Rattus norvegicus: one gene and its partners. The protein of the gene in region 1 interacts with the protein of each later gene in a biochemical or structural test. Links are inferred from orthologs where the notes say so. Each region holds a gene or a part of one and is shown on either strand. Other genes may lie near its edges. The genes, in order: Hsp90aa1, Hif1a, Tert, Cdc37, Ahr, Usp19 and St13.

Region 1 (4,258 bases):
TGTTTGCGTGAGGGTGTCAGAGATTAGAATTACCGTTTTGAGCTGCCACGTGGTCATTGGGAATTGAACCTGGGTCCAGTCTATGCTTTAACCACTGAGCCATCTCTCCAGCCCTTTTCTTTCGAATCTTAATGAGTGATCGTTTTCGTCAGCAGGAAAAGATGCGGAAATAGTGGGTGGGAGTAACATAAAGGAAAGGGAAATGGAAGCCAAACGGAAGTCTATTAAAGCCTGTATTAAACAAGGAAACTATCTTTTGGGTCACGTTAATCGCCCAAAGTAACGTCATGACACCCTAAGAAGGTGCCTCAAAAACCAGGGTAGTGTGTTGTGTATGAGCGTTTTGACTGCGTGTGTCTGTGCACCATGTGTGCTCCTGGTGCCGCAGAGGCCAGAGGGGACTGTATTTTCTGACTGTAGTTACTGGTGCTTGTGAGCTGCCTTAACGTGCGAGTTTGGTATCACTAACTGCTCCTAGCTGACTCTTTAGCCCTTTACACTTATTTTCACATTGTGCGAGTGTGTGTGCGAGTGTGTGTGTGTGTGTGTGCACATGAGTGTCACAGGCGCTGAGGGTTAGCTCCCCACTCCCAACCCCCGCTATCTGGGTGGCAGATATCAAACCCAAGCACCTCTACTGGATGAAGCCATCTTTCTGGGCCCCCGTAATTACAATAAGTTAAGGTAGCACAAATTTGACACTAAAACCCTAACAACGCCCAAGTTTGAGGGTCATGGGTTTTGGTCAAAGAGAAACCCCCAAGCACTATGGACAGATTTGGAAGATCCACCGTGTACTACCCACAGTAAGGCTTCAGGACAGGCTCCAGAGGGGACAGCCCTAAAATTCAGACAGTGGTACCACGCGCCAGACCGCGCAACAAGCAGAACCCGGGCTCGGGATACGCCCCACCCATCAGGTGGAAGCCAGGAGTCAGACTCGCGTCCCGCCGGGAGTCTACGTCCCCAATGGGAGCCCGAAGACAGGGGGATCTTCTCGCCTCAGACACCTAACGCGCCGCAGAGGGCACTGAGGTTCACACAGCAACGCAGCCTCACATGGGAACATCCCTTTCGCAGACCCCACCCCCACCCCCCGAGAAGAGGAGCCCTAGAGTGCTCACATGGCGGCCTCTAGCGCATGCGCTGGTCACCTTGTCCGCGCTCCACGAGAGGCGGCGCGCGCGCGGCCCGGGAAGGCGCCAGGCCCGCCGAGAATCCCGGACTGCGCATGTCCAGAGCACCTGGCTGTGGAGGAGGGGCTCGCGTTCGTTCTCCGCGCGGGTTCTGCGCGCTCCTGGTGGAGGGGCGGGGCCCGTCCAGTGCGCAGGCGCAGGCGCGCGGCCGAGGCGACGGTTGGGGAGGGTTCTTCCGGAAGGTTCGGGAGGCTTCTGGAAAAAGCGCCGCGCGCTGGGCGGGCCCGCCTCTATATAAGGCAGGCGCGGGGGGCGGCGCGCCAGTTGCTTCAGTGTCCCGGTGCGGTTAGTCACGTTTCGTGCGTGCTCATTCTGCCAAGGTGAGTGTCCTCGCAGAGGGGCTTAGTGGGGGATTGGGGAGAGAGGTTGACGGATGTAGACGCGGCGGCGGGGTCGGGGCCGCCATCCGAGCTCCCTCAGCCCGCAGAGGTGGGCGGCCATGCCTTCAGACCCTAGGCCCCAGGCGGCCGCTACGCCCCAGGCCCAGGATGCGGTGATGGCCGCCGAGGAGGAGCGGCGGCGGAGGGTCGGGGGCGAGGCGAACGTTCGGCTCTGGCCTTTGCCTAGGCCTCCCCGGCTCTCGCCGGTGCTCCTGAGGCGCGGGCGGAGGAGGGAGGCGCCATAGCGGCGGCTTGTGGGGGGAGGGTGGCCGTTAGGAACGGCGTGCGTGGAGCCGCTTGGGTCCGAACGTCCTCCCGGAGGCGCGCACATGCGCCTCGTAATTACCGCATTCTGAAATGAGGTCATCCCTTTGTCATCCACCCCCCCCCTCGGCCTCTTCTATTCCGTCCCCGTCTCAGACCGAAATAGAGTTCCTAAGGAATTTCTATAGGAAAGGGGTAGGTAGGCATTAGGACGCCTGCAGACATTCTGTGAGGCTTTAACACCGTCCCGTGTTCCCAGATGCCTGAGGAAACCCAGACCCAAGACCAACCAATGGAGGAAGAGGAGGTCGAAACCTTTGCCTTTCAGGCAGAAATTGCCCAGTTAATGTCCTTGATCATCAACACTTTCTACTCGAACAAAGAGATCTTTCTGAGGGAGCTCATTTCCAACTCCTCAGACGTGAGTATATCACTTGAAGAATTGAATGGATGTTGGTTTCAGTAAAAATTTCACCTTGAGGCTTGTCTGTGTGCGTGACGTTTGTCTTCTCTTAATAGGCTCTGGATAAGATCAGATACGAGAGCTTGACCGACCCTAGTAAACTGGACTCGGGGAAGGAGCTGCACATTAATCTCATTCCCAACAAGCAAGACCGAACCCTCACTATTGTGGATACTGGCATTGGAATGACCAAGGCTGACTTGATCAATAACCTTGGCACTATTGCCAAGTCAGGCACCAAAGCCTTCATGGAGGCTTTGCAGGCTGGTGCAGATATCTCTATGATTGGCCAGTTTGGTGTTGGTTTTTACTCTGCGTATTTGGTTGCTGAGAAAGTGACTGTCATCACCAAGCATAATGATGACGAGCAGTACGCCTGGGAGTCCTCAGCTGGAGGATCCTTCACTGTGAGGACAGACACAGGTAGGCAGAGGCCAGGAGTGCATTCAGAGTGCAGTGGGTGTCTGGTTATTTTAGGTCAAGTGTTTAAGAGGGTTAACTGGGAGAATTGAAGAGTTTGGAGCAGTCTGGGATAGTCTTAGTCCTAAGCCCTCCAACAAAATTGTTAATCTCAAGGGAGCTTCAAGGACTGGGTGGTTGGAGGAAATGTGGAAAACGTATGGCTATTTGCTCAGTAGCAAGGAAGTTAAAGCTCTGGAGACTGCATTTGTGTGGAAAGTTAGCTGCTAGGAAACACTGCACGTTTTTATCTCCGCTCCAACAAGCACTGGGAGAAGACTTTGAATATTAGCCATTTGAATTCATAGTCCATAACCTTTTCTTTTTCAGGTGAACCAATGGGTCGTGGAACAAAGGTTATCTTGCATCTAAAAGAAGACCAAACTGAGTATTTGGAGGAAAGGAGAATAAAAGAAATTGTGAAGAAACATTCTCAGTTTATTGGCTACCCCATTACTCTCTTTGTAAGTTTTTCTTTCAACTGCAGGGTAAATTGATATGATAACTGAGACAACTGAGCATGGTCTTAGCATTCTGTAAATAATAAGCCTGTTTGAAACAAGTTTGGGTCTGTGCTCTGGAGGACTGTTGAGAAATTATAGAAAACACTGATGAGTTTCTTAATTATGGACATTTATTTCTTAGATCTTAAATAATTTGTGACACAGTAATGAAGTGACTTTTTTTTAAGGTGGAGAAGGAACGTGACAAGGAAGTCAGTGATGATGAGGCTGAAGAAAAGGAAGAGAAAGAGGAAGAGAAAGAAAAAGAAGAAAAGGAGTCTGATGACAAGCCTGAAATAGAAGATGTTGGTTCTGATGAAGAAGAAGAAGAGAAGAAGGATGGTGACAAGAAGAAAAAGAAGAAGATAAAGGAAAAGTACATTGATCAAGAAGAACTCAACAAAACAAAGCCGATCTGGACCAGAAATCCTGATGACATTACGAATGAAGAATACGGAGAGTTCTACAAGAGCTTAACCAACGACTGGGAAGAACATTTGGCAGTAAAGGTGAGTGACTTAAAGCAGGTTTTCGGGTTGACTTAACGTTAACCTTTACACCCACTCAACCTATAGAAGTGCTTCTAAGTGTAACATAGCTCAGTGGAAAAGTTGATTCATTTTTGTCCATGGCAGTTAAAGGTATTTCATTTTATTGCAGCATTTTTCTGTTGAAGGACAATTAGAATTCCGGGCTCTTCTTTTTGTCCCAAGACGCGCTCCTTTTGATCTATTTGAAAACAGAAAGAAAAAGAACAACATCAAGTTGTATGTTCGCAGAGTTTTTATCATGGATAACTGTGAGGAGTTAATCCCCGAGTATCTGAGTAAGTACGGATAGAAAGAATAAGCACTATTGGCAGGGGTTTTGCATAACTTGTTTGAGGCCCTGGGCTCAGTCCTCTCGACCAGCCAAAAATGATTCCTTAGTTTTCGGAATGATTAAGGTAGGTGTCTTGTTCTTTTCTTCCACAGATTTCATCAGAGGGGTGGT
Region 2 (4,300 bases), about 37 Mb from region 1:
GAATATAAGAAAAAAAATGCATGAAGGCACAGAAGAAAGGTTTGAAGATTATGAAAGTCTGAACTATAACAGTTAACACCCATGTTCAAGTATATAATGTGTTACAAACCATGTGCTGGCCTAAGGTTTTTAAATGCATTATCTTATTTTCAGAAGGCTAGTATTATCCTCTTGGGAGGGGGGGTATATAATCCACAAGTATTCAGTAACTTGCCAACAATCACAAGTGGAAAGGCTTGGGACTCCAACTTGTGGTTATCTATCTGTATCCTCTATCTAAATCAGTAGACTACTGATTCCTCAAACAAGGAGGAAAGCTAAATTATAATAAAAATTTTATTAATAAACTTCTTGATTTTTAGTGACCAACGCTAAAAGGAGAAATTAAGAAACATCTTTAAGAGATTTTATTTTAGTGACCCAATAACTATTTGGGGGGAGGGATTTGAAAGTTCAGCTACAAGCTAGAAACAGAATGAGCTTGACATTCTCTTGAAATCTAAGAATCCATATACATATTAGGTCAATCAAGTTCAGTACCAACAGCTAAGGAGTCAGACACAGCACATACCGACTGTTAAATCTATTATTCACTTTCTGTTCTGCTTTCTTCCAAATCTTTGAGATTTGAGTTTTCTATACTCTCTATTAAAAAAGCAAAATTCTTTCCCACCTGTTCACTTTGGAGGCTCATTTAAGATGGACTAATTGGAGAAAGAAAAATTTTACCTCTCAATCTTTCAACAAAATTATGATTACAAAAAGACATACTTAATACATAGCACCTAAGTGTTGAGTGACCCATCACTCATGTTTATTATCTTTTAGTGATATTAAGAACCTCTATATTAAGAAATATAATCCCATCTGATCTAAAGCTGCTAACATCTCAAACAAGAAAAATTAAATTAACAGATGGTTCTGAGGAAAACCTAAAAACCATTTAGAACTGGACCCGATGCACAATTAACTTACTTATCCATTGTAAGACTACTTTTGATTAAATACACACACACACACATACACACACACAAACAGTGTATATGAAAGAGACATGATTGGTGTATTACTTGGTATAGTGTATTAATATAATATAATTCAGCATTTAATAAGGACAGTAAGTACACAATGGCAATCTGCCTAAGGTTTAGAGAATAGCAGCCCATCATTTCATCAAAAGCATTGTAGTCACTTCTGCGAAATTAATTGCAACTAATTCTGGTAACTCCTGGAGTTAAGTCTAGACTTGCATGCTCACTTTAAAACATTTTCAAAGTGCTTTCTTTGGTGCATCCAAGACCTGGACGTTCTATGGAATAAAGACCAAGGCAAGGAAGGGATGTACAGAAGAGCAAGAAAATGAGTACATTTATCTCTTCTGCGGATATGGATAAGGGGAATTAATCTCTTCCAGAAGACTGGAAGGACTTAAGAATTAAGCCAGCCTTGTAACCACAGCTCTTACAACAAACCTTCAACTTCTTAAACTGATTTTCTCAAGGTTAAAATATCGAAGTAGACAAAACTGTGTGCTGGCGGCAGGGATCGATCTTACCACTACTAGCTGCACTCGTAAGCCTATAATGTTCTCAGACTCAAACCACAGGATGTTTCATAAACTTACACTGAGTTCTCACACACGATTTCTCACTTCGGATGTATGTTTTTTTGGATACAATTCTTTGCAGGTGTTCCAATAAACTTGCAACATTCTAACTGCTGGTTTTCATTTGCTTTCATTATATACACCCCCCACCCCATCTCATTAAATTATCGGCCTAAGTTTAACCGAAACTATCGGTAAGTTATTTTCAGGAGTGAACGAGGCATACTCATATTCATACATAACGTCTGGGCTCTCCTGACAGGTGATGCAAACACAAGTTTGTAGGAACTGTAAGTTATTTAAAATGATGCCATTTTCCTAAATTCCCGTTACTCTGATGGTGGCAAGTGTTTCCAACAAAACCTGCACGTGCAAACTAGAAAGTTAGCATCTTCCGGCCCCCCGAAGAAACTCCCTAACCTACAAAGGCAGCGGCGGCCGCGGTACAACGAGGCGGCTCCGGGGAGCCCGGGGTCGGCCTCGGAGGGCCTCGACCCCAGGAAGCTGGCAGCGCGCACAGGGTCCGCCCGGGGCCCGGTGCTCGCGGCAAACGCGGAGGTCCGGGGCGGGAAGGCGCGGGAGCTAGGGGCGTACTCGGCCGGGGCCGGCTCGGCCGGATGAGCGCGCGGGGCAGGCTGGGCTGCGAAGGCGCGGGGCGGGTGTCCGGGGCGGAGACCCCAGCCCCGCCGAGCGCTGGGCCCGCGACTCCCACCCCCCGCGCCAAGATGGCGACGTGGACCGCGGGGGAGCCCGGCGCGTGAGGCTGGGGGGGGGACGGAAGGGGAGCAGAGACAAAAAAAGGCCAGCCCACAGAACGCGGCGGCCCGGCTTACTTTTTCTTCTCGTTCTCGCCGCCGGCGCCCTCCATGGCGAATCGGTGCCCGCGGTGTCTTCCCGGCCGGCAGCCCCTGGGCTCGCTCCGGCCTAAGCGCCGGCTCTGTCCTCACGCGCAGAGAAAGGGGCAAGTCCAGAGGCGGGGTGTGAGGCGGGACACCCCCCCGGGACGGCGAGGCGGGAGCTGCAGGCTGCGCTCGCCGGGCTCTGGTTCGGGTTCCTAGTTGCTCCTCCGGCTGGCTTGTCAAGGCCTGGCCAGACACTGCTCGCGACGGTAGCGAGGACAGTCCTCGCGTCCCCTCAGACGAGGAGCCTCTGTGCACTGAGGCGCTGAGGCAGCGGCAGGGGGCGGGCAAGGGCGGAGGCGCGCTCGGGCGCGCGGCGAGGGGAGGGGAGCAAAGGGCTGCGCGCGCCCGCTAAGCCCGACGCGCGCACCCGCGGGCCCGCCTCACCTGAGCGGAGGCGGGTTCCCCGAGAGCCAATGGGAAAGGACGCAGGCGGCCAGGCCCCACCCCAGCCCACGTTGCTCTCAGCCAATCAGGAGGAGGTCAGCTGAGCCCCAGCTGGGGCGAGCTGCCCAGCTCACGTGCTCGTCTGTGTGCAGCTAGGGAGAGAAGAGAAAGGGGCGACCGACGGGTGCGGCTGAGCCCAGGTCTGGGGACTCTGCGCCTTCAATGGAAAGCTGCGTCTGGCCTTGGGAGGCGCTGCTGGAGCAAGTGGGATGCTAAGCCTGTGTCCGAACGTGCTCACACTGCCCTGCTCTCTGTGGAGTTGTCTGAGGCTCGCTTACTCCTTAGTTGCGTGGTTGGACCGGGTCCCCGCCCATCCCTCCTGAGTTTCCAGTTGCAAAAACAGCCAACTTTGTGTTCTGGCAGCCAGCCCCCTGCTGTTAGAGTGGGGTCTCTCCTTCCCAGGTGACCGGACGAAGCTCAGTCTCTGCTCTCTGCCACAGAACAAGGGAAGTCTCCAAGTCATTAACGATTTTCTGGGCCAAAGTTTGACTACTGAGCAAATGCAAATAAAAATATAAAACAAATCCCTCTTGCAAAACCTCTCAAGGCGAGTGAAGTTGCAGGGCCATTTTAAAATAAACTATCTTAATTTACACATAAATAACAGCTTCAATAAGTGAGAGCACAAGCCTGAATTTGAGTGACAAGGCAGGAAAAAGCATTGAGTAGACTTATTTTGCTATTATGTTGCTTTGAAAAAAAAAAGACAAAGATAATCTTAAATAGATGCAGAAAAGGTGCAAGAATTGTTTCAGACTGAGTTTATTAAAGTTCACTGTTTAGACTGAAAGAAGGAAGAATGCATCCTCCAACCTACAGACCTTGACAGGACTGCTCACCGGCTGTGCTGGGAACTATGGATTAAAGCAATCACTTTTGGTCGGTCTTTGGAAGCATGAATGTTAGGTCTGTGGGTATGATGTTTGTTAGTTTTTTTTTTTTTAATTTTAATGTATTCCAAGCCCAACAAAGGAACACTGCATGCACCTGCGTGTGCACACACACATGTACACACACACACGCACACACACACACACACGTGTTGGAGATCTGAATCTGAGGTCTCTGAAACTGACCTGACACTTGACTGTTTAATAGCTCTTCTTTGCCTTGTTAGTACATCGTTACAATCTAACGTTGGGTTGTATAATAATGTAGACATCTGTGGCAGATTTAAATTGCATTCAAATCCAAAAACAACGCCCCCCAATAAATACAAATGGTGTCCAGGTCTAATAAGACAATAAACAATGTATAAAGCCTCTCAATAGACCCATGAAGACACAGCTGGAGATTTAGCTTAGTCAGTCGGAGAGCAGTGGTCTAGTATGCACAAGGTCCTGGCTTC
Region 3 (2,778 bases), on another chromosome or scaffold:
TGGAGACCGGCGCCCTGGGAGGTGCAGCCCCGCACCAGCTGCCTGCTCACTGCCTGTTTCCCTGGTGTGGCTTACTGCTGGACACTCGGACTTTGGAAGTATTCTGTGACTACTCAGGGTAAGCACACAGGGGAGTCATGAGGTCATGGGAGCAGACGGTGCTGTGGCTACGACTTTCTGTTTCCTGCTTTTAGACACAAGTGACCGTGAGGCCTGAAGTGATAGAGGCCGAAAGGTGTTTCCCTCCTTTGTGGAGATGGTCACGGCCAATATAAGAACATCTTCAGCCTTGTCCCAAGGCTCCTGCAGACCATGGAGCCAAGATGTTCCTCTATATGAAGTATAAGGGGCGGGGAGGGGGTGGGTGTTGGTCTCCACCTACCAAGAGCTCACAACCCAGATTGTAGCTCAATGTAGATATGACAGATTTGGGATAGGCACAGGTGAAAAGAGTTGGACCATTTCTTCTTATGAGTGAAGAGTATGAAGATTCTGACATTACGGCAGGAGCCTGGCAACCCACCATCTTGACAGCTGTCCATTCTATGCTCAGACTCCCCATCTCCATTGTGTTCTTTGGAGGGTCCCATTCTAAGGGAAGGGTTGGGTGCAGATAAGCCGTCTGTACCGTGCTCTCGCAGGCCTGGGCTCCTCAGCCTCAGTCCATGGGACTCAGTTCAGATTTCTTGACTCCACCCTCTGCCTCCCAGACCCACCTTTGTTGCCCCAGCCCCAGCCTAGTGCTGAGCTCGCCAGTGTACCTGCCCCAGCCCCTGGTACTCTTCAGTGTTACAGAGTCATGGGTAAATCAATCGAAGAAGAATTCCCCTCTGAACATACTGCTAGAGTCTGAAAACCACACACCCTTATAGGAAGCCAGGCGGGCCCTGGACAGGGGCCATTAGCGACCATATGTAGACCATAAGGGCCCTGTTTCCAGAGTCCATGTTAAGTGTGGCTGTGAGCTCAGCCTGAGCTTTTGGTGTGGGTGCATCAGCCGAGCTCAGTATCCTTCTGCCGGAGCCAGGGACAATGCATCTGGAGGTCAGCCAAAGTGGCTAGCAACATCCTAAAGGGAAAACACAGTGATGGGAGTTTCTTCTCCCCAAACCACAGCTTTCATGCAAAGTGTGAAGAGAGCTGACAGCACCGTGGAGTGTCACGGAGTGGGAAACCTCTTCCTCCACCCACACGCACAGGCATGCACCTCACACATGCACAAAAAGTAAGAAACCTGACAGAGGTAACCATACCCGTCACTTGTATTCATCTTTGAGGATGATGCCAAGTCACTGGACAACAAGAAGGCACCACCCCATCATTCTGTCCTGCACGCGTCCATCCGTCGTCCCAGAGTGACCAACTCTGCAGGTGGTTTGACACCGCTGTAGGCACTCCCTTACTGTTTCCTGTCACCAAGATCTGGCTGGAGACAATCCTCCACTCCAGTCATAGCCCTGTGCTGGGAAGGTGCTCTGTCAGGCTGCAGCCACTTAAAGAAGCACAGGGTTTGCGACTTCCTGTAAGATTCACAGTTCTTTCTGAATTTTCACAGCTCTCTTTGCCACCTGTGAGCAAAGATGTCTGGTAATCCCAAGCTCAGATAAAATGGATGTTGTTCACTACATGGTTGGGCTTGGTTGTCCAGGGCTTCTAGTGGCGCTATAAGCAAGTACCAAAAGCTGGAATGGGCCCCATGTCTGAAGGTCCTACCCCATCTAAGCCTGCGGCGTGTGGCAGAGACGAGAGGAGGAAGGGCAGTGGTGCTGGTTTCTCAGGACGAGCTAGTGCAGCTATCACACAGGATACCTTTGTGCCGCAGTTACGGACGGACCTCAATTAAGATGAGCCTCACCTTCCAGGGTGTCTCCAGGGCCGGGAAGACCATGCGGTACAAGCTCTTGTCAGTCTTGCGGTTGAAGTGTCATGGTCTGTTTCTAGACTTGCAGGTAAGCAGACAGGCAGCCACCTCATCGGTTGGATCTTAGTATAGGTCCTGTTCTTCTGTGTGGGGGGACACGTTCATGGATATGCATGTGTGTGCACAGGCGTGAGCCGTGTATGTGGGGAGCACGTAGGAAGGTGGATGTGCACTGAAGAGACCGAAGAGCCTTGAGCACTTACCGTGCTCATCTCCGTCACTTTTCAGTACTGACATCCAGCTTCCCTGGATCCTGACCTTGGCTTTGGAGTCTTAGGCCTCAGCTCTCTCCTGCTTCCTCCCCATGGGGGCCTGGCTCGATTTTCTGTTTTCCCCACACGTGGCTTTCTTATCCTACTTGACAACACAGAAAATATTCATTTGTGATCTCGGGGACATTGCTGACGCTTCTCTTACCCTTGACTCCAGGTGAACAGCCTGCAGACAGTCTGCATCAATATATACAAGATCTTCCTGCTTCAGGCCTACAGGTGAGTCAGCGGCCGTGCCGCCACTAGAGGGAGGCACAGGCCAGAAATGCCAGTCATGCTGTTTGCTGGGGCTCTCAAGCTCAAGGCTGTTTGCTCCCCCAGATTGGGTGGCATGCTGAAATGCGGTCAGGAAAAAGCAGCATTTAGTTGAGTCTCCACACAGGCCCGTATTTGTAGGGTAAGAACCTCTTGTGGTCTGCCTGTGCTGGGAGCACATGTAACCTTGTGTGCTGACCAGAATGGTCTTGAGACAGGAGGGGATGTTGGCATAGAAGCCCCCAAGAAAGCCCCTCAGAAGAAATAGGATGGGAAAGGGGAGCAGGGAGATTCAGAGTCCCAGAAAGCAGAGAACCCAGTCTTACACCA
Region 4 (4,187 bases), on another chromosome or scaffold:
AAACTGGAAGGAATAGGTGTGTAGGTGGGACTAGAGCTGACTGCTGGATTTGGGGAGGATAGGGAAGGACTTTCGAGGAGTAAAGAGGAGAAGCTTTCCTCAGGAAGGTGGAATGCTAACTGCAGAGTACCTGCCAGCAGCCTGGGAGTGTAACAAGCACAGGGCTGATGAGAGAGCTCAGTGGGTGAAGGCCTGCTACCAACCCTGACGGCCTGAGTTTGATCCCGAGCCCACGTGGGTGGAGAGAACGGATTCCAGCAAGTTATCCTCTGACTGTGACAGGGTAGCGTGGCACATTTACACATACATGAGCATGAACATACACAAATACAATGTAACCTAGACAGAGTAAAGACACACAGGTATGTGGGTACAGATGCTTTAATTTGGGGGGCAGGTTAGGCCACTGTCTCTTTACTGCTGTGCTAGAGATGGAACCCAGGACCTCCTGCATGCTAGAGAGTGCTCTACCACTCAACTACATCTTCAGACCACCCTTACATCTAGGTAGTACACTATGGGCCTGCAGGCAATGCTGGCACAAGAGAGGCGGAAGAGCATGGCTTGCTCACACTTGGGGATCTGACGGTCTCAGTCTAAGGCATCTGTTATGGGCAGATTTAAAACTGTGTAGGACTTTATTTTATCTGCCTAGTGATCGACAGGATTCCCTGAGCCCGTGCCAGCCTCATACTTACTATGTGGCTGATGACTTTGAACTTCTGAGCCTCCTGCTTCTATCTTCTCAGTGCTGAGACTACGGGCCTGCCCCACCATGGCTAGCTTTTAAGCCAGATGGAGCCCAAGGCAATGCTTACAACTGAATTCCAGCCCATTTGGTTTTTGAGACAGGGTCTCACGTAGTCCAGGATAGCCTAGAATTTGCCCTATAGCAAGGATTAACTCTGAATTCCAGATCCTTCTACCTCCACCTCCTAAGACCTGAGTTTACAGGTGTGCTACAATGCTCAGAAAGTAAGGTAATGTTGGAACAAGATCCAGGAGGTGCAGAGTTAAATAGAATGATATGAACCCTCGAGAGGCCAATGAAACTGGAGAGGAAGGGCAGGTAGGACAGGAAGGGTTTGGTTTTCTGGGTTGGGATTGGGTGAGCTGTCTTTTCCTTCTCCTTTCCCCCTTTTCTCCCCTCCCCCACTTTCTTTCTCTGTCCTATCCTGCCACTGGACTCCATGCCTCCAAACAGAGTACCCCTATTTAGCTGTGCTGGAACTCTCTGTAGACCAGGCTGGCCTTGAATTCACAGGCCCGCCTGCCTCTGCTTCCTGAGAGCTGGGATTAAAAGTATGTGTCATCACCATCCGGTTTGGTGAGTATTCAATGATGGCTACAAATCATACAGGAGCCAATGTGGGCAGAATGGGGGTCTACTTACTATACTACTAGGAGCAGAGGTTCTGACCGGAAGTTAAGTGGGTGGGGTTTCCTGGAGTAAGGGGAAATAAGAATCTACAGGAGGTGAAAATAAGGAAAGCCACTAGAATTGGATGATGGGCAAGAGTGGAGCTGGGGGTCAAATAGAGAGGCTAAGGGGGCTCTAACACTGAAGTCCCAAGTGTAGCTCTGGTCTATAACCCAGGGAAATCGATCCTGGACTGGGAATCCCAGCTGCAAACTAAGATTGACCATTAAATTAAGAGCAGGGCACAGCCCTCATTTAGTTTGGAAGTTAGGGGGTTGGGGGTTCGGGGGGTTGTCTCTGGGCCTTAATGGAAATTCGTGCCTAAGATCCTGGGAAGTAGATGCCACAATCAGAACGAAGTTTTATGGATCCAGACTCTAGGGGGTGGGGAGAGGCAGAACGGAGATGTGCAATCAGAAGTGGGTGCATGGCTGGGATATGAGATCACCTAACAAAACCTGGGTCCAGACTCTGAGGAAGAATTCTGAGAACAAAAGGTTCCACAAAGGATGATGGGGACCCTACACACATGGGTCAGCTTCGGAGGTGGGGTGGGGTCTAGACTCTGACTAAAGAGTATTAAGAGCTGATAAAATGACTCAGTGTACAGGTGCTTGTGGCAACTCGGGGTGACCTGAGTTCCACACCCAGTTCCAACGAAGTGAAAAGAGAGGCCCAACTTCTGCAAGTTATCCTGTAATCTTCCTTTGCATGCTGTGCCACGTGCACACAAGAACACACACACAATAAGTAAACGTACAAACAGAAGAGATCCACAGCACAGAGAGAAAGCCCGGAGATACAGATGAAGAATTAGAATGAAGAATCCAGGAGTCCTGGGATTAAAAGGTCCAGCCCAGCATGATGGCACATGTCTTTAACCTCAGCACTGGGAAGGCAGAGGCAAGAGGATCTCCGTGAGTTAGAAACCAGCCTCTTCTATATAGCAAGTTCCAGGCCAGGCAAGACTACCCAGTGAGATTTTGTTTTTAAAAAAAGAAGAAAGAAAAGAAAGGGGGAAAGTCTAGATTGTGGAACAGGAGGCTCTGGATGTCAAGAACTGAGGTCTCCCCCGCCCCCCACGCCAGGCGGCCTGGCTAAGAGGTCAGAACTCTAGAGCGGGGGGTCCCGGGAGTGGGGGGAAGGGGATGAGCGCGCACAGCCCCACCTGGTGCCGCCAGCGGAACAGGCTGGCCGTGTCTATGTTGGGGTGCGTCTCGTCCTCATCGTCCGACACCTCGATGTGATCCCAAACGCTGTAGTCCACCATCTTCGCCTCGGAGGCCCGGACTGGCTCCCGGGTCTCCACACGGCCGGGCGCTGAACAGGGACCCACAAGGGCTAGAGAGTCCGCTCGCCCCGCCCCGCCCCTTCCGCTTCCGCCCAGGGCGCCGCGCACGACGGCCCCGCCCCAGCGTCGGCGCATGACGTTCGTCCTTAGCAACGGGAGTCGGCGGCATTGGCAACCGGAGGTCATCTTTAAAGGGCCAGGAGTACGTGGTGCGGCCTTCTGGAAGTTCCCGCCGAAACCAGACTGAACATCCTTTAGAGACAAAAGGTTAGTCTTGTTGGGCGTGGTGGCCCACGGTAATCCAAGTATGCTAGGGGCGAAAACAGGTGGCTCTCTACAAGTTCTAGTCCAGCCAGGGTACATATTGAGACTGTCAAAAAGTCAAAATTGGCTGGGCAGTGGGGACGCAATCTGGCGGATCCAGGCCAGCCTGGTCTACAGAGTGATTTCTAGGACCGTAAGGGTTGTTACACAAACAAACATTCTAAAAAAAAAATAAGTCAAAATTGAGCCTGGAGAAATGGCTCAATGGTTTGGAGAACTGGCTGGTCCTCCCTCACCTACATGGCGGCTCGTACCTATCTGGTAAGTCCATCTCAGGGTATATTGCGCCCCCTTCTGGCCTTCACCCACACCGAGCATGCATGTGGTACACAGATATACTTGCAGGCAAAATATTAATACGCATAGTTTTTTTTAATGATGTTTGCCCTTAAATAGTTTTTTTCCCCAGACAGGGTCTCACTGTATAGCTCCGGCTGTCCTGGAATTCACTATGTAGACCAGGCTGTCTTCAAATGAACAGATCTTTCTACTTCTGCTTCCCAATGCTGGGGTTAAAGGTGTGCACCACTACACCAGACCTGCCCTTAATTTTTTTTTAAAGATTTATTTATTTATATAAGTACACTGTAGCTGCCTTCAGACACACCAGAAGAGGGCATCAGATCCCATTCCAGATGGTTGTGAGCCACCATGTGGTTGCTGGGATTTGAACTCAGGACCTCTGGAAGAGCTGTCGGTGCTCTTAACCACTGAGCCATCTCTCCAGCCCTGCCCTTAATTTTTAAAAAAATATTTATTTGTTTGTTTGTTTGTTTGTTTTGAGACAGAGTTACTCTATGTAGCCTTGACTTTCCTCAAACTCACTCTATAGAGGAGAATAGCCTTGAACTCAGAGCTGTGACTGCCTCATTCTCCGAAGATTAAGTGCTGGGACTAAAGGCATACAGCAGGACCACCTGGCTAGCTAAATAAATAAATAAACAAATAAATATTTAATTAAATTACATCTTAGGTGCTGAAGTGATGGCTCAACAGTTAAGAGCACTGGCTGCTTTTTCAAAGGACTCTGGTTCAATTTCCAGTATCCATATAGCAACTCATATCTGTCTGTAACTCCAGCTCCAGGAGATCTGACACTCTCACACAGGTATATATGCAGACACAATACACGTAAAATAAAAAATAAATAAG
Region 5 (3,500 bases), about 78 Mb from region 1:
ATACACCACACGGAATTACTACTGTAGAACTCAGTGTACATCCTAAACCACACGGAATGACGGCTTTAGGAGTCAGTGCACACTACGAACTAAATTAAATCACTGCTGTGAGATTTCATGTACACTGCACACCACATGAAATCACGGTTCTAGGTGTCTGTGTGCCCTGACAGAATGCTATTGTTAAAAATTACACGTGGCAAGAAAATATACAACCATGCTCAACTCAAACACATCAACTCATACAAACATAAATCCAAGAGGAATGACTTTCTACACAGTCCTCTAAGACACAGAGATGAGCAGGGGCTGCCTGGTGACTCGGATGCTACCATTAGCATCATCTGAGTCTGCAGAAGGGGGAACTTCTGCATCTCACCATGATGCCTAGGTGCACAGCAGTTTGAGATCTTGGCATTAATCCATTTGCTACAATTTGTGAAGGAATACGATCCTTAATAATTAACTTTTGATTTATGGACTTAAAAAGAAAAAAAAATAAGGCACTTGGGAAATGGCTTAGCGAGGAAGATTCCTTGTTATTTAAGGAGGATGTCTTTAGTTCAAATCCCCAGAACTCATGTAAGAGATAATTAAGGAGTTATTTTGTATGACAAAATATGTCAGAACAGTAATTTCAAATAGGAACTCCGTTTTAGAGATTCCGTAGTGATCGATGCTGGAAATTCATATGTAATAAGCAGCACTCGGCCACACAGCCCCACAGCCACCCTCAGTGCGTTCACAGCTGAAGCACAGGGTGCTCCCCGGCACGACTAAAGTCACACGGTGGCACTGTGCAGAATGAAATCCAACACTGTCCAACCATATTCAAGTGTTCTTTCTGATCATAAACCATTTTAACCACATTTCCTTGATGCTAACATACATTAACATAAAGCTGTAGCAGTCCGTATAACTTTGAAAGACTCCATGAATTCCATACAGAAAGTACAGGAACAATACATTACTACTCCTATGAGGCAGCGTGGGCGGGCGGGTGTTAATTCGTGTGTGTCAGAGAGAGAGGGGAGAGGAGACAGGAGACAGGGGAGAGGAGGGAGAGACGGTAAGAGCACAGGGGGGCGGGAGGAATGTCAAAGAAAGAGCAGGTGTATGTGTATGTGCGTGCGTGACAGAGGGAGAGGAAGTGTATGTATGTGTATGTGAGAAAGAGACAGAGAAGGGGAAGAAGAGGGAGAAGGACAGTATATATGTATGTCAGAGAAGTGTGTGTGTGTGTGTGTGTGTGTGTGTGTGTCAGAGAGAGACAGAGTAAGGTTTTGTGTGTCCATCCCTATCATCCTGCCTCATTCCCACTGAACCCACAAAGCTGGCAGCCAGCAGGCCCAGAGCCCTGTCTCTATTTCCCACAGTGCTACCGTTAGAGTCAAGCCAGGCAACGCGTTAAGTGGGCACTGGAGATATGAACTCAGCTCTTCATGTTTACACACCAAATCCTCTCTTGTCCACTGAGCCAGCCCCACCCCCAATCACAGTACTTTATGATTTCTTTTTAAAAATGAAACCTGAGTATAACTTTTAAACACATGACTTATAAAGAATGTTACTATGTATCATCCAAATGGCTCTATTTGTCTGGTGAATGAGACAGGAGAGAGAGTTAATAACAGTTATACATTTAGCTTTGTCACTCCATTATTTTCTAAGACAAGAAAGACGTTTGCGCTCATGGACAGTTTTTTATTGTCACCAATATTAAGGACCATATTTGACATTAGCATACTGTGAGTTACTGCTATAAAAGTCAACCGTGCCGACATACCATCAAAGAAGCTCTTGGCCCTCAGGTAGCTGACGCTGAGCCTTAGAACGGAGAGTTTGTCCAGCTTACTAATAACATCTTGTGGGAAGGGCAGCAGGCTAGCCAGGCGGTCTAACTCTGTGTTCAGCCGGTCTCTGTGTCGTTTAGAAGGGTTCGACTTAATTCCTTCAGCAGGGACGGGCTTTACTCTGAAACACAAAGAAAAGCCTTTAGAAAACACAGAGCAAAAGTATCTATTACATTAAAACATCTGCTCAAGGGTTGCTCTACCCACGAAACACGAAGAGTTTCCCAATAAACCCCTCCACTACACTGCGAGCCAGCTTTTCTCACTAGCACAATTATGAAATAAGTGTCAGATAATAATACCACCAAAAATACAAAGAAATCTGTAACATTCATGCAAAAATATACTAAAACTGCTGAGTTGTACAATTGAAGCATTTTCATACCGAAAAAGCCTTTAAGTAAAAAAATCATTTTTAGGCAAATTTCACCTAGAAAAACTACTGGAAAACATGCGTTTGGATTTAGAAAGTATGATGTCTAGTCACTTGCCTAGTTAATCATTTACATATTGGTAATCACAGATTCTCAAATTTCTACTTCCTTGATTCTCCCTAAAGATTTTACTTAGTCTTCTCACGCAGACTAAGTAAGATTAACTATGCTGTTATTACAGGTACTTTTATGACCTCAATACAGAACCACTGATATTCTCTCTTTGATTGGATTTCAGACCTGCTCTATGAGATGGAGCCTGGACCTGACACCATGAATGAGCCCAAGAACCTGTGGCTAGATAGGACCCTAGGGGAAAACCTGTTACTATTATACTCTTAAATGGACATAGTAATAAAATGACTCCTAATGACTTATTGCTACACCCACAGATAAGTGCATTGCTCAACTCTCACCACAGAAGCTTCTTTCTGTAGGAGATAGCCATTAACAGACACACCCGCGACTGGCAAACATACAGCAAAAAGACGGAGAATAAGAAGTGTGTTCAACCCTGGTTGGGATGTTTATAACACATCCTTCCCCTCATGGCTCAGGGATCTATGTGAAAGAAGGGACATATCCTAAGAGCCAAAGACAGTGGATGACTTCAGGCATAACAGGGCAGGGGACTAACATCCCACAGAGACTGTGACAATGTGCACAAGTCCTAGGAAAGGTCAAGCCAGACAAAGCCCTAGCAAGGGAGGAGAGGAGGTCAACGTGAAATCTAACCTCTAGCTAAGAAGCTATTGTACTTGATAGCTGCTGGGAGAAAGAAAATCAAGTTTTCTACAGTGGAGTGACACGCACTCAGGAGTCTTGGCCAAAAAAGCTAGACGAGCCAAACACTAGGTGAGGCCAGGGGAACTCTGAAGAAAACCGGGAGGATTGTAGAAGCCAACGGGTCAAAGACACCATGAGAACACTAACCATGGAATCAATGAAGGACTCGCAGGGGCTCACAGAGACTGAAGCAACAAGCATGTGCCCTAGATGGGTCTGAGCTGGGACCTTTGCATATACTTTATGGTTGTGTAGCTTGCTGTTCTTGTGGGACTCCTAATAGTGAATGAGGGTGTCTCTGAGTCTTTTGTCTGCATTTGAGATCCTTTTCCTCCTACTGGGTTGTCTTGTTCAGCCTTGATAGGAGTGAGGGTTTGTGCCTAGTCTTATTGCAATTTCTTATGCCATATTGGGTTGATATCCTTGG
Region 6 (3,500 bases), on another chromosome or scaffold:
ATCGGAGAGACAAAGCGTGAGCATGAGTCATGCACTGATCCTCTGTCCCCAGGGTTACTAGCAAACTCTTCATCCAGAGAAGACAGGGAAAGACAGAGGACACGTGTGGGACTGGAAAAATGGCTCAGCATTAAGAGCACTGGCCATTCTTCCAGAAGATGTCAGTCCTATCCCCAGCAAATACATGGCAGCTTGCAACCGTCTAGAACTCAAGTTCCATGGGGTGGGTCCAACAGACTTTCCTAGCACCAGGCACACAACATACTACAAACTCACATACAGATGAGCAGACAGAACACTGAAAATGTTAAAAAAACAAAACAAACAACAACAAACCCACCATCACACATGGCCACACACAGAAGCCTGGGAGGGAAGATCTACCTCAGCCAGGCGCAGGCTCTCAGGCTTCACGTGGACACTCTGAGAGAGGGACTCCAAAACTTCGCTTGCGCTGGAGTTCTCCTTGCTGACGCTCACCAGGAACTTAGGCAATAAAGGTCAAGTCAGCAAGGGGGAACGGATAAGAAGTCCTATTTTTAAGGACAGCCAGAGGGAGGGGATTGTTACTCACCTTGATGGGTTTGCTATGGGGCTCTCTGGCAAAATAATATATGGGGAGAACCTTTTGCTTTTGTGGCAAGGGTACCGGCAGATAAAGGAACGGGTCAAAAGTGATGGAGACCTGCGGATGCAGAGGTGACATGGGGGTCACAAGGGTCAAGGTGCTCATTCCTGGAGAACCTAAGCCAGGCTCTCCGGTGGCTCTCAGGGTTCTCACAGCCAATCAGCAAACTTCAGTGGTAAAGCACTAGACTGAGGAAGGGGACCCACCAGGAGAGATGGAGTCCCCTCTTCTGGCAGCTTAACCTTTTCCCCAGGGTTCCCTTCACCTGCTCTTCACGCGCCTTTCCAACTGTACCGGCAACACTGGCATGCCATGCCTTACTTATCCTTGCTGTACCACACCTGTGCATCAAACACCCCTGACCTCAGTCACGAAGCCGACCTCGCCTGATTTCTTCTGACCAGAGACCCTAAGGCACTTTTAGGTTCTGCCCACTTCCCTCCCCCAAATTTTGCCCAGCATTCTAAAAACACACATGCTTCAAAGTATCTGGCCAAACCGGCCCAACTAACTACAGGCCATCTCTCTAGGGGAGTCCACTGTACCTTGGCACACACAGGGCACACCAGCTTTGACTTGTACTGGCCCTGAAACAGGTCCACAATGAATGAGTCGTTCCTCATCTTGTGCCGCTGCCATGCTTCTTCAGCCACCACCTGAGGAAAGATAGTGAGAACTAAGGAGAACTATGGACTGGGACACACAAAACCCTTTCTACAACCCCCAACCGACCTCGTCAGGTCGCCCATCTGAGTCCACAGTCTCTGTGTAGGGTTTGTTTTGGATCCGATTCAGGTCTTCATGCAGCCCATCCAACAAGAAAGCCATGAACTCTTGGGCATCATGCTGTGCGTAGCCTGTAAACTGGCTGGCCTTGCTTGCTACAATGGCCTAGATGAAGAGGCCAAAGTGTCAGTGAGAAATCTTAGCACTCATTCGCAGGACACCTTATTAGCCCTCTCATCCCTCTGTAAACAAGGTGGGAGTGAGCACAAATCACCTTTAGCTTGGAGGGTTGAAAGGCTTGGTGAGTGCCCTTCCACAGGGCCCGGAGCAGCACAGCGAAGCCAATAGCCAGACGCCCACCAGTCCCCAATGGGTTATTGTAGTTAATCTCAGCCTCAAAGGATCGGTCTAGGAACAGCCGAGTAGAGGTGTGAGAGACAGAGGTACCATTTCTGCCTATGCCCCAGTCTCCTGGCCCTGACCTTCTTACCGTGGAAGAAGTCACGAAGCTCCCGAGTGTTGGACAGAGACTGAATGACACTATTCATGAAGCAGGTGTTCCCTAAGTTGACGAGGCCAGTAAAGCCTGGGAGACAAACCTTCTTCTCTTCCTCTTCATCCTCCTCCACACTATCTCCACTCACTGGACTATGAGGCATTGGAGGCACCATACATGTGGGTTTGGGCTGTGCAAAGAAAGGAGAAATGACAGAGGAGCCCTGGTGCTCTCCAGCCTCATTCGTGACCCATCCCAAGCAAGGGTTCTCACCGAGGCCAAGTGCGGTTCTGGCTTTGGGGTAACATGCTCCAAGGGGGTGCGAGCCACCACACCATCCAGCCCCGAGTCCTCTGACCGAGCCTTGGGTTTTTCCTTCTCTACAGCCCTGGCTTCCTCCTGGCCAGTCAGAGGGAGGGGGCCACCTCCTGGAGGGGTTGAATCCAAAGGGGTTGGACCTGTCGGCACGGCAACCTTTGCACCACCCACTGCACCTTAAAAAGGGGGAATGAGAGGGCTGGTGGTTAGCAGCACGTGTGAGGTGGTGGTAGGGGGTCCTAATCATGTGGGGCTCAGGCAATGAAGGGAGCTCGTGTGCAGACCTCGTGTAGCAGGGGCCTCCAGTCCCCCCCAGCGCTGACTCTGCCGCTTCCGGAGGCAGATATCGATCCGAGAGGCCGTGAAACAAAACGTACATTGCTCTGGCTCAATCAAGTTCCTGTCAAGGAAAAGCTGAGTTCAGAGATTTCAGGAGAAGCAGGTGAGGTTAAACAAGCCAGAGAGATGGAAACCCAAGTGAGACAAGCAGTAACAGGGCTGGGCACCACCCACCTGAGCTTCACCTGCCAGCGGAAGATGGTGTGGGGCCCACAGCCCGGATGCAGCCTCAGAAAATTTCCATCCCTGCAGAGGCAGAGCAGGGAAGGAGGAAGAACAAAGGAAAATGCTTGAAGCACACTCCCATCTGAGGCACACCGCTGTACCTGTCCCAGCCTCAGCCACACACCTGGTCTGGAAGATCAGCGTGAAGTCCTGCTCTCGGAAAAGTACTCGAGAGGTATCCCTGCGGCTCTCCTTCACATACACGTGCACCACCACTGAATCCGGCCCCTTCTCATACGAATCATTCTTGACAAATGCCAGGTTCACCATAGACTCTGGTTCTATGTTGAGACCATGGCTCAGTACCATCAACCCAAGACAAATTCCAGCCTGTTACTATACTACTCCCTACCCACCCATCAACCCTGTGACCCAACCTGGGGGCCTGCCTTCCCAGTCCCCATGTTACCATCCGCTAAGGCTGCAGGATCAGCTCCAACTGCCATCTCCTCTTTGAAATGGTCATCTTTCTCAGGGTCTCTGTTCCGGATCATGACTGGGGAGACTGAGTCACTCCTGGGGGACACTGTCTTCTCTACTGTCAAAAGGGCTAAATTCTTCTCTGAGCCCAAGAGACTTGTTTGAGGGTTCACTGGTGGAACATGGAGCTGCTCCTCAGCCTCAACCTAAACACACACAAACATGCAAACATGCAAACACACACAAAGAGAGAGAGAGAGATTAGCTATGAGTCTAGCAAGTTGTACCCACTCTGGTCCACATTCCTTCCCAATCTCTAAATATCCAAACAGGACAACAAGCATCTAA
Region 7 (3,500 bases), on another chromosome or scaffold:
ATATTCAGTAGCGCACAGAAGCCCATACATAAGTCCAGCTCTAAGGGATCAAATATCATCTTCTGCCCTTTGTGGGCACTCTCTAACATGTTCACATACATTTATACAAACACAGAGAGAGACAGATAAATAATGGTAACTGTGAAAGAAGCTTAATTTCTTATTGGCTTAAATGTCTCTATTTTTGTTCCTTTAAACAGTATTTCTCAAAAAGAGAAAACTGTAGTTTTCATATCCTGTGAAATTAGTTTTGACACTTTATCCTCTTTAAGCTTAGTCTGTCAAGTAAAACTGAGTCCCATAACATCAATCTACATTTGTTTTTAAGTTTTTCAAGGCAGGGTTTCCATGTGTAGCTCTGGCTGTCCTGGAACTCACTCTGTAGACTAGGCTGGCCTCAAACTTAGAGATCCACCTGCCTCTGCCTATCAACAAGTGCTAGAAAACACCGTGTGCCACCACTCCCTGGCTATGTTTTAGATTTTTAAAAGGTTTATTTCTTAAGTGTGTGAGTGTTTTTGCCTGCATGCATGTATGATCCTTGTAGGTCAGAACAGAACATCAGATCTCCTGGAACTGGTTACAAATGGTTGTAAGTTACCTTGTGGGTACTGGGTATTCTGTAAGAGAAATAAGATTCCTAGCTATTGTCGCAGCTCTTGTTTATTTACCTTTTGCTTGGTGGTAGGGTACACACACAGTGTACGTGTAGAGGTACGTGGACAGCTTTCAGAAGTTCATTCTCTTACCAAGTGGTTTTTAGGGGTGGGGCCATAGTCCAGATTTCCTAGGACTAATTGTGTGTGTAGCCTAGGCTGAGGATTGCCTCTAATGTTCAGTTCTCGGATTTTTGCTGCTTGGGTGCTGGTTTACAGATGTGCATCATATTGCTTTATCTTTTTTTTTTAAATACTTTTAAATTTTTTATGTTTATGGGTACTTTGCCAACGTGTACTTGTTGTATGCCTATTGCCATGGAGGCGAGAAGGCATAAGAGCTGGAACTTGGGTTATAGACATTGGGTTATAGATGGTTGGTTGTGAGCCAGTGTATGGGTGCTGGAAGGTGGACCTGGGACTTCTGGAATAGTAGTCAGTGCTTTTACCCACTGAGGAACCTCTCTAGCCCTTTATTTAAAAATGTTAACATGCTGGCTACTGACCATGCTTGGTGGGAAGCACTGTCACTGCGCCATGTCTCCTATGAAGTAGACTGAGAAGTGATAAGTCTTAATTAGAGAAGTCAAAGTATTTTATTAAATCTTTGTCTTCTGGACAGTTTCTTAGTAAGTTTAATTTCACTTCAGGTGAGCTCCAGAAAGCCATTGACTTGTTCACAGACGCCATCAAGCTAAACCCTCGCTTGGCCATTCTGTATGCCAAGAGAGCCAGGTAAGAACACTGAAGTACACGTTTCTTTTGTATAAATCTCAAAGGTTTTATTGTTTGAAATGAAGTTTTTCTTAATAATTACTATTTTTATTTTATTTTATTTTTTAGTGTTTTCGTCAAATTACAGAAGCCAAATGCTGCCATCCGAGACTGTGACAGAGCTATTGAAATAAACCCTGATTCAGCTCAGCCATACAAATGGAGAGGGAAAGCGCACAGGTAAATGAACAAATACTGCTGAGAAAGCTGAGTTTGACCGGTAGAACCCAGGAGTAAAACACTGGTATGGCCAGGTAGTGGTGGCACACACCTTTAATCCCAGCAGCGTTGGACAGGCAGATCTCTGTTAGTTTGAGACCAGCCTGGAGTCTAGAGAGCCCAAGACAACAGAGAAAAACCCTGCCTTAATGTATTACCAATTGCTGGGGGTGGTGCTATGGAGGCTGGAAACAGATCAGTGAGTTTCTAACATCTATGGTGAATTATAGGGCAGCATCCAGAAACAGGTTGATTGACTGCACCTGAGAAATGGTTCTTGAGACTGTATACACACAAACACACACACACACACACACACACACACACACACACACACACACAGAGGCACAAAGTAGTCAAGTTTAAGAGGTTTTTCAAAACTTAATTTAAAATCTATTTTAATATGCCTTTTTCAGATTTTACCTAAGTGCTTTTATTTCAAAGTAATGGGTTCAGTATGAAGAATTAAGAAAAGGAACATGAAAAGATTTTACTCCCTTCCACATAAAACTACTCAACATTATCAAGTCACATAGGCACATACAAGACAACCTGGTTTCCTTTTACCCAAAAGAATACAAGAAGAGATACTGAATACCCTAGCCTGAAGTGCCTTTATTCATTACTGGGACGTTTAAAAAAATCTAATAATCGCTATAGGGTTGGAACTTATTGTTTCGTGTTTGTCTTAGGGAAATCCAATGATTGAGGTGGATTGAGAAGATATAGATGAAGTTTGAGTAGAAATAAGAATGGATGTTTTTGGGGTTGGGGATTTAGCTCAGTGGTAGAGCGCTTGCCTAGGAAGCGCAAGGCCCTGGGTTCGGTCCCCAGCTCTGAAAAATAGAACCAAAAAAAAAAAAAAAAAAAAAAAGAATGGATGTTTTTAACAAAACTGTATTAGGTGACTCATAGTAGTGACTTTTTATGAAGGCATGTCAAAGAGAAAGGTAAAAGGTTCAAATAAGGGCTGGAGAGATGGCTCAGAGGTTAAAAGTACTATCTGCTCTTCCAAAGATCCTGAGTTCAGTTCCCAGCAACCACATGGTGGCTCACAACCAACTATAATGGGATCCGATGCCCTCTTATGTGTCTGAAGACAGCTACAGCGTACTCATATACATAAAATAAATAAATCTTTTTAAAAAAGGGTTCAAGTAAAATGTATTGCTGCTGTGTGGTTATAGAAAAAGCTCACACAATATTGTTGCTTCCTTTGAAATCAGTCACTAGTCTTCAGATGGCATTTTGCTTTCTGGTTACAGATTTCAAATAAGCTATTTTTTAAAGAAACTATAGTTCATTTTGTGGACACTAAAATTTGTGTGGTTGGGCATACTTTTCTGCTTCTTTTCTTCTTTACTGTCATATCAGTGAACACAACCAAGGAACAATACCTTTCTTTATACATTCATGATTTGAATGAAAAACTTATAATTGAGTTTATGCCAAGATTTTCAATTAAAAATTGTTTGCCTTTTAACTGTATCCTTATTTAATTTTGGAAACATACCAGATAAGTGATAGTATTTCAGTTAGCATAGCATACCCTCCAAGTAAACTGTGAAGGTTTTCTTTGCTGTCAGGATTGTCCTTAAGAATGTATCCCATTTAAAATATGTGGCTAAAACAAGATATTAGAAAGATGATTTTAGTTTTTATACGTGTGAGTGTAGGGTTTGTGCTACCATTTTCATTACACTTACCTTGGGTGGTGGCAGGATTCCATGTCATGGTGTACATATTCTCCACACCATTTTCTTTCTTTGTTTTGGATGAGGTTGAGGGGTTACCGAGACAGGGTTTCTCTGTGTAGCCCTGGCTGTCTGGAACTCACTCTGTAGACCAGGC

The links.
Region 2: the proteins of Hsp90aa1 (region 1) and Hif1a form a complex in vitro, tested with the Homo sapiens proteins (4 studies listed by BioGRID and IntAct, with this or other methods). The link is inferred for Rattus norvegicus from reciprocal best matches to the Homo sapiens genes HSP90AA1 and HIF1A.
Region 3: the proteins of Hsp90aa1 (region 1) and Tert form a complex in vitro, tested with the Homo sapiens proteins (2 studies listed by BioGRID). The link is inferred for Rattus norvegicus from reciprocal best matches to the Homo sapiens genes HSP90AA1 and TERT.
Region 4: the proteins of Hsp90aa1 (region 1) and Cdc37 form a complex in vitro, tested with the Homo sapiens proteins (3 studies listed by BioGRID, with this or other methods). The link is inferred for Rattus norvegicus from reciprocal best matches to the Homo sapiens genes HSP90AA1 and CDC37.
Region 5: the proteins of Hsp90aa1 (region 1) and Ahr form a complex in vitro, tested with the Homo sapiens proteins (2 studies listed by BioGRID). The link is inferred for Rattus norvegicus from reciprocal best matches to the Homo sapiens genes HSP90AA1 and AHR.
Region 6: the proteins of Hsp90aa1 (region 1) and Usp19 form a complex in vitro, tested with the Homo sapiens proteins (3 studies listed by BioGRID). The link is inferred for Rattus norvegicus from reciprocal best matches to the Homo sapiens genes HSP90AA1 and USP19.
Region 7: the proteins of Hsp90aa1 (region 1) and St13 form a complex in vitro, tested with the Homo sapiens proteins (2 studies listed by BioGRID). The link is inferred for Rattus norvegicus from reciprocal best matches to the Homo sapiens genes HSP90AA1 and ST13.

The regions. Positions count from the first base shown.
Region 1 is NC_086024.1:135,526,341-135,530,598, reverse strand, and holds the start of Hsp90aa1 (heat shock protein HSP 90-alpha), read left to right. Parts: upstream 1-1,458; 5' UTR 1,459-1,516; intron 1,517-2,099; coding exon 2,100-2,261; intron 2,262-2,359; coding exon 2,360-2,726; intron 2,727-3,092; coding exon 3,093-3,226; intron 3,227-3,453; coding exon 3,454-3,774; intron 3,775-3,925; coding exon 3,926-4,091; intron 4,092-4,239; coding exon 4,240-4,258. UniProt on the Homo sapiens protein: Molecular chaperone that promotes the maturation, structural maintenance and proper regulation of specific target proteins involved for instance in cell cycle control and signal transduction.
Region 2 is NC_086024.1:98,358,398-98,362,697, reverse strand, and holds the start of Hif1a (hypoxia-inducible factor 1-alpha), read right to left. Parts: upstream 2,801-4,300; 5' UTR 2,475-2,800; coding exon 2,440-2,474; intron 1-2,439.
Region 3 is NC_086019.1:31,468,334-31,471,111, reverse strand, and holds part of Tert (telomerase reverse transcriptase), read left to right. Parts: coding exon 1-118; intron 119-1,822; coding exon 1,823-1,949; intron 1,950-2,350; coding exon 2,351-2,412; intron 2,413-2,778. UniProt on the Homo sapiens protein: Telomerase is a ribonucleoprotein enzyme essential for the replication of chromosome termini in most eukaryotes. Active in progenitor and cancer cells. Inactive, or very low activity, in normal somatic cells.
Region 4 is NC_086026.1:27,964,131-27,968,317, forward strand, and holds the start of Cdc37 (hsp90 co-chaperone Cdc37), read right to left. Parts: upstream 2,801-4,187; 5' UTR 2,691-2,800; coding exon 2,589-2,690; intron 1-2,588. UniProt on the Homo sapiens protein: Co-chaperone that binds to numerous kinases and promotes their interaction with the Hsp90 complex, resulting in stabilization and promotion of their activity. Inhibits HSP90AA1 ATPase activity.
Region 5 is NC_086024.1:57,988,902-57,992,401, forward strand, and holds part of Ahr (aryl hydrocarbon receptor), read right to left. Parts: intron 1,975-3,500; coding exon 1,787-1,974; intron 1-1,786. UniProt on the Homo sapiens protein: Ligand-activated transcription factor that enables cells to adapt to changing conditions by sensing compounds from the environment, diet, microbiome and cellular metabolism, and which plays important roles in development, immunity and cancer.
Region 6 is NC_086026.1:118,072,227-118,075,726, reverse strand, and holds part of Usp19 (ubiquitin carboxyl-terminal hydrolase 19), read right to left. Parts: intron 3,359-3,500; coding exon 3,142-3,358; intron 3,014-3,141; coding exon 2,857-3,013; intron 2,754-2,856; coding exon 2,682-2,753; intron 2,569-2,681; coding exon 2,453-2,568; intron 2,345-2,452; coding exon 2,124-2,344; intron 2,041-2,123; coding exon 1,845-2,040; intron 1,763-1,844; coding exon 1,629-1,762; intron 1,520-1,628; coding exon 1,361-1,519; intron 1,285-1,360; coding exon 1,174-1,284; intron 686-1,173; coding exon 575-685; intron 487-574; coding exon 385-486; intron 1-384. UniProt on the Homo sapiens protein: Deubiquitinating enzyme that regulates the degradation of various proteins by removing ubiquitin moieties, thereby preventing their proteasomal degradation. Stabilizes RNF123, which promotes CDKN1B degradation and contributes to cell proliferation.
Region 7 is NC_086025.1:114,781,878-114,785,377, reverse strand, and holds part of St13 (hsc70-interacting protein), read left to right. Parts: intron 1-1,306; coding exon 1,307-1,391; intron 1,392-1,499; coding exon 1,500-1,610; intron 1,611-3,500. UniProt on the Homo sapiens protein: One HIP oligomer binds the ATPase domains of at least two HSC70 molecules dependent on activation of the HSC70 ATPase by HSP40. Stabilizes the ADP state of HSC70 that has a high affinity for substrate protein.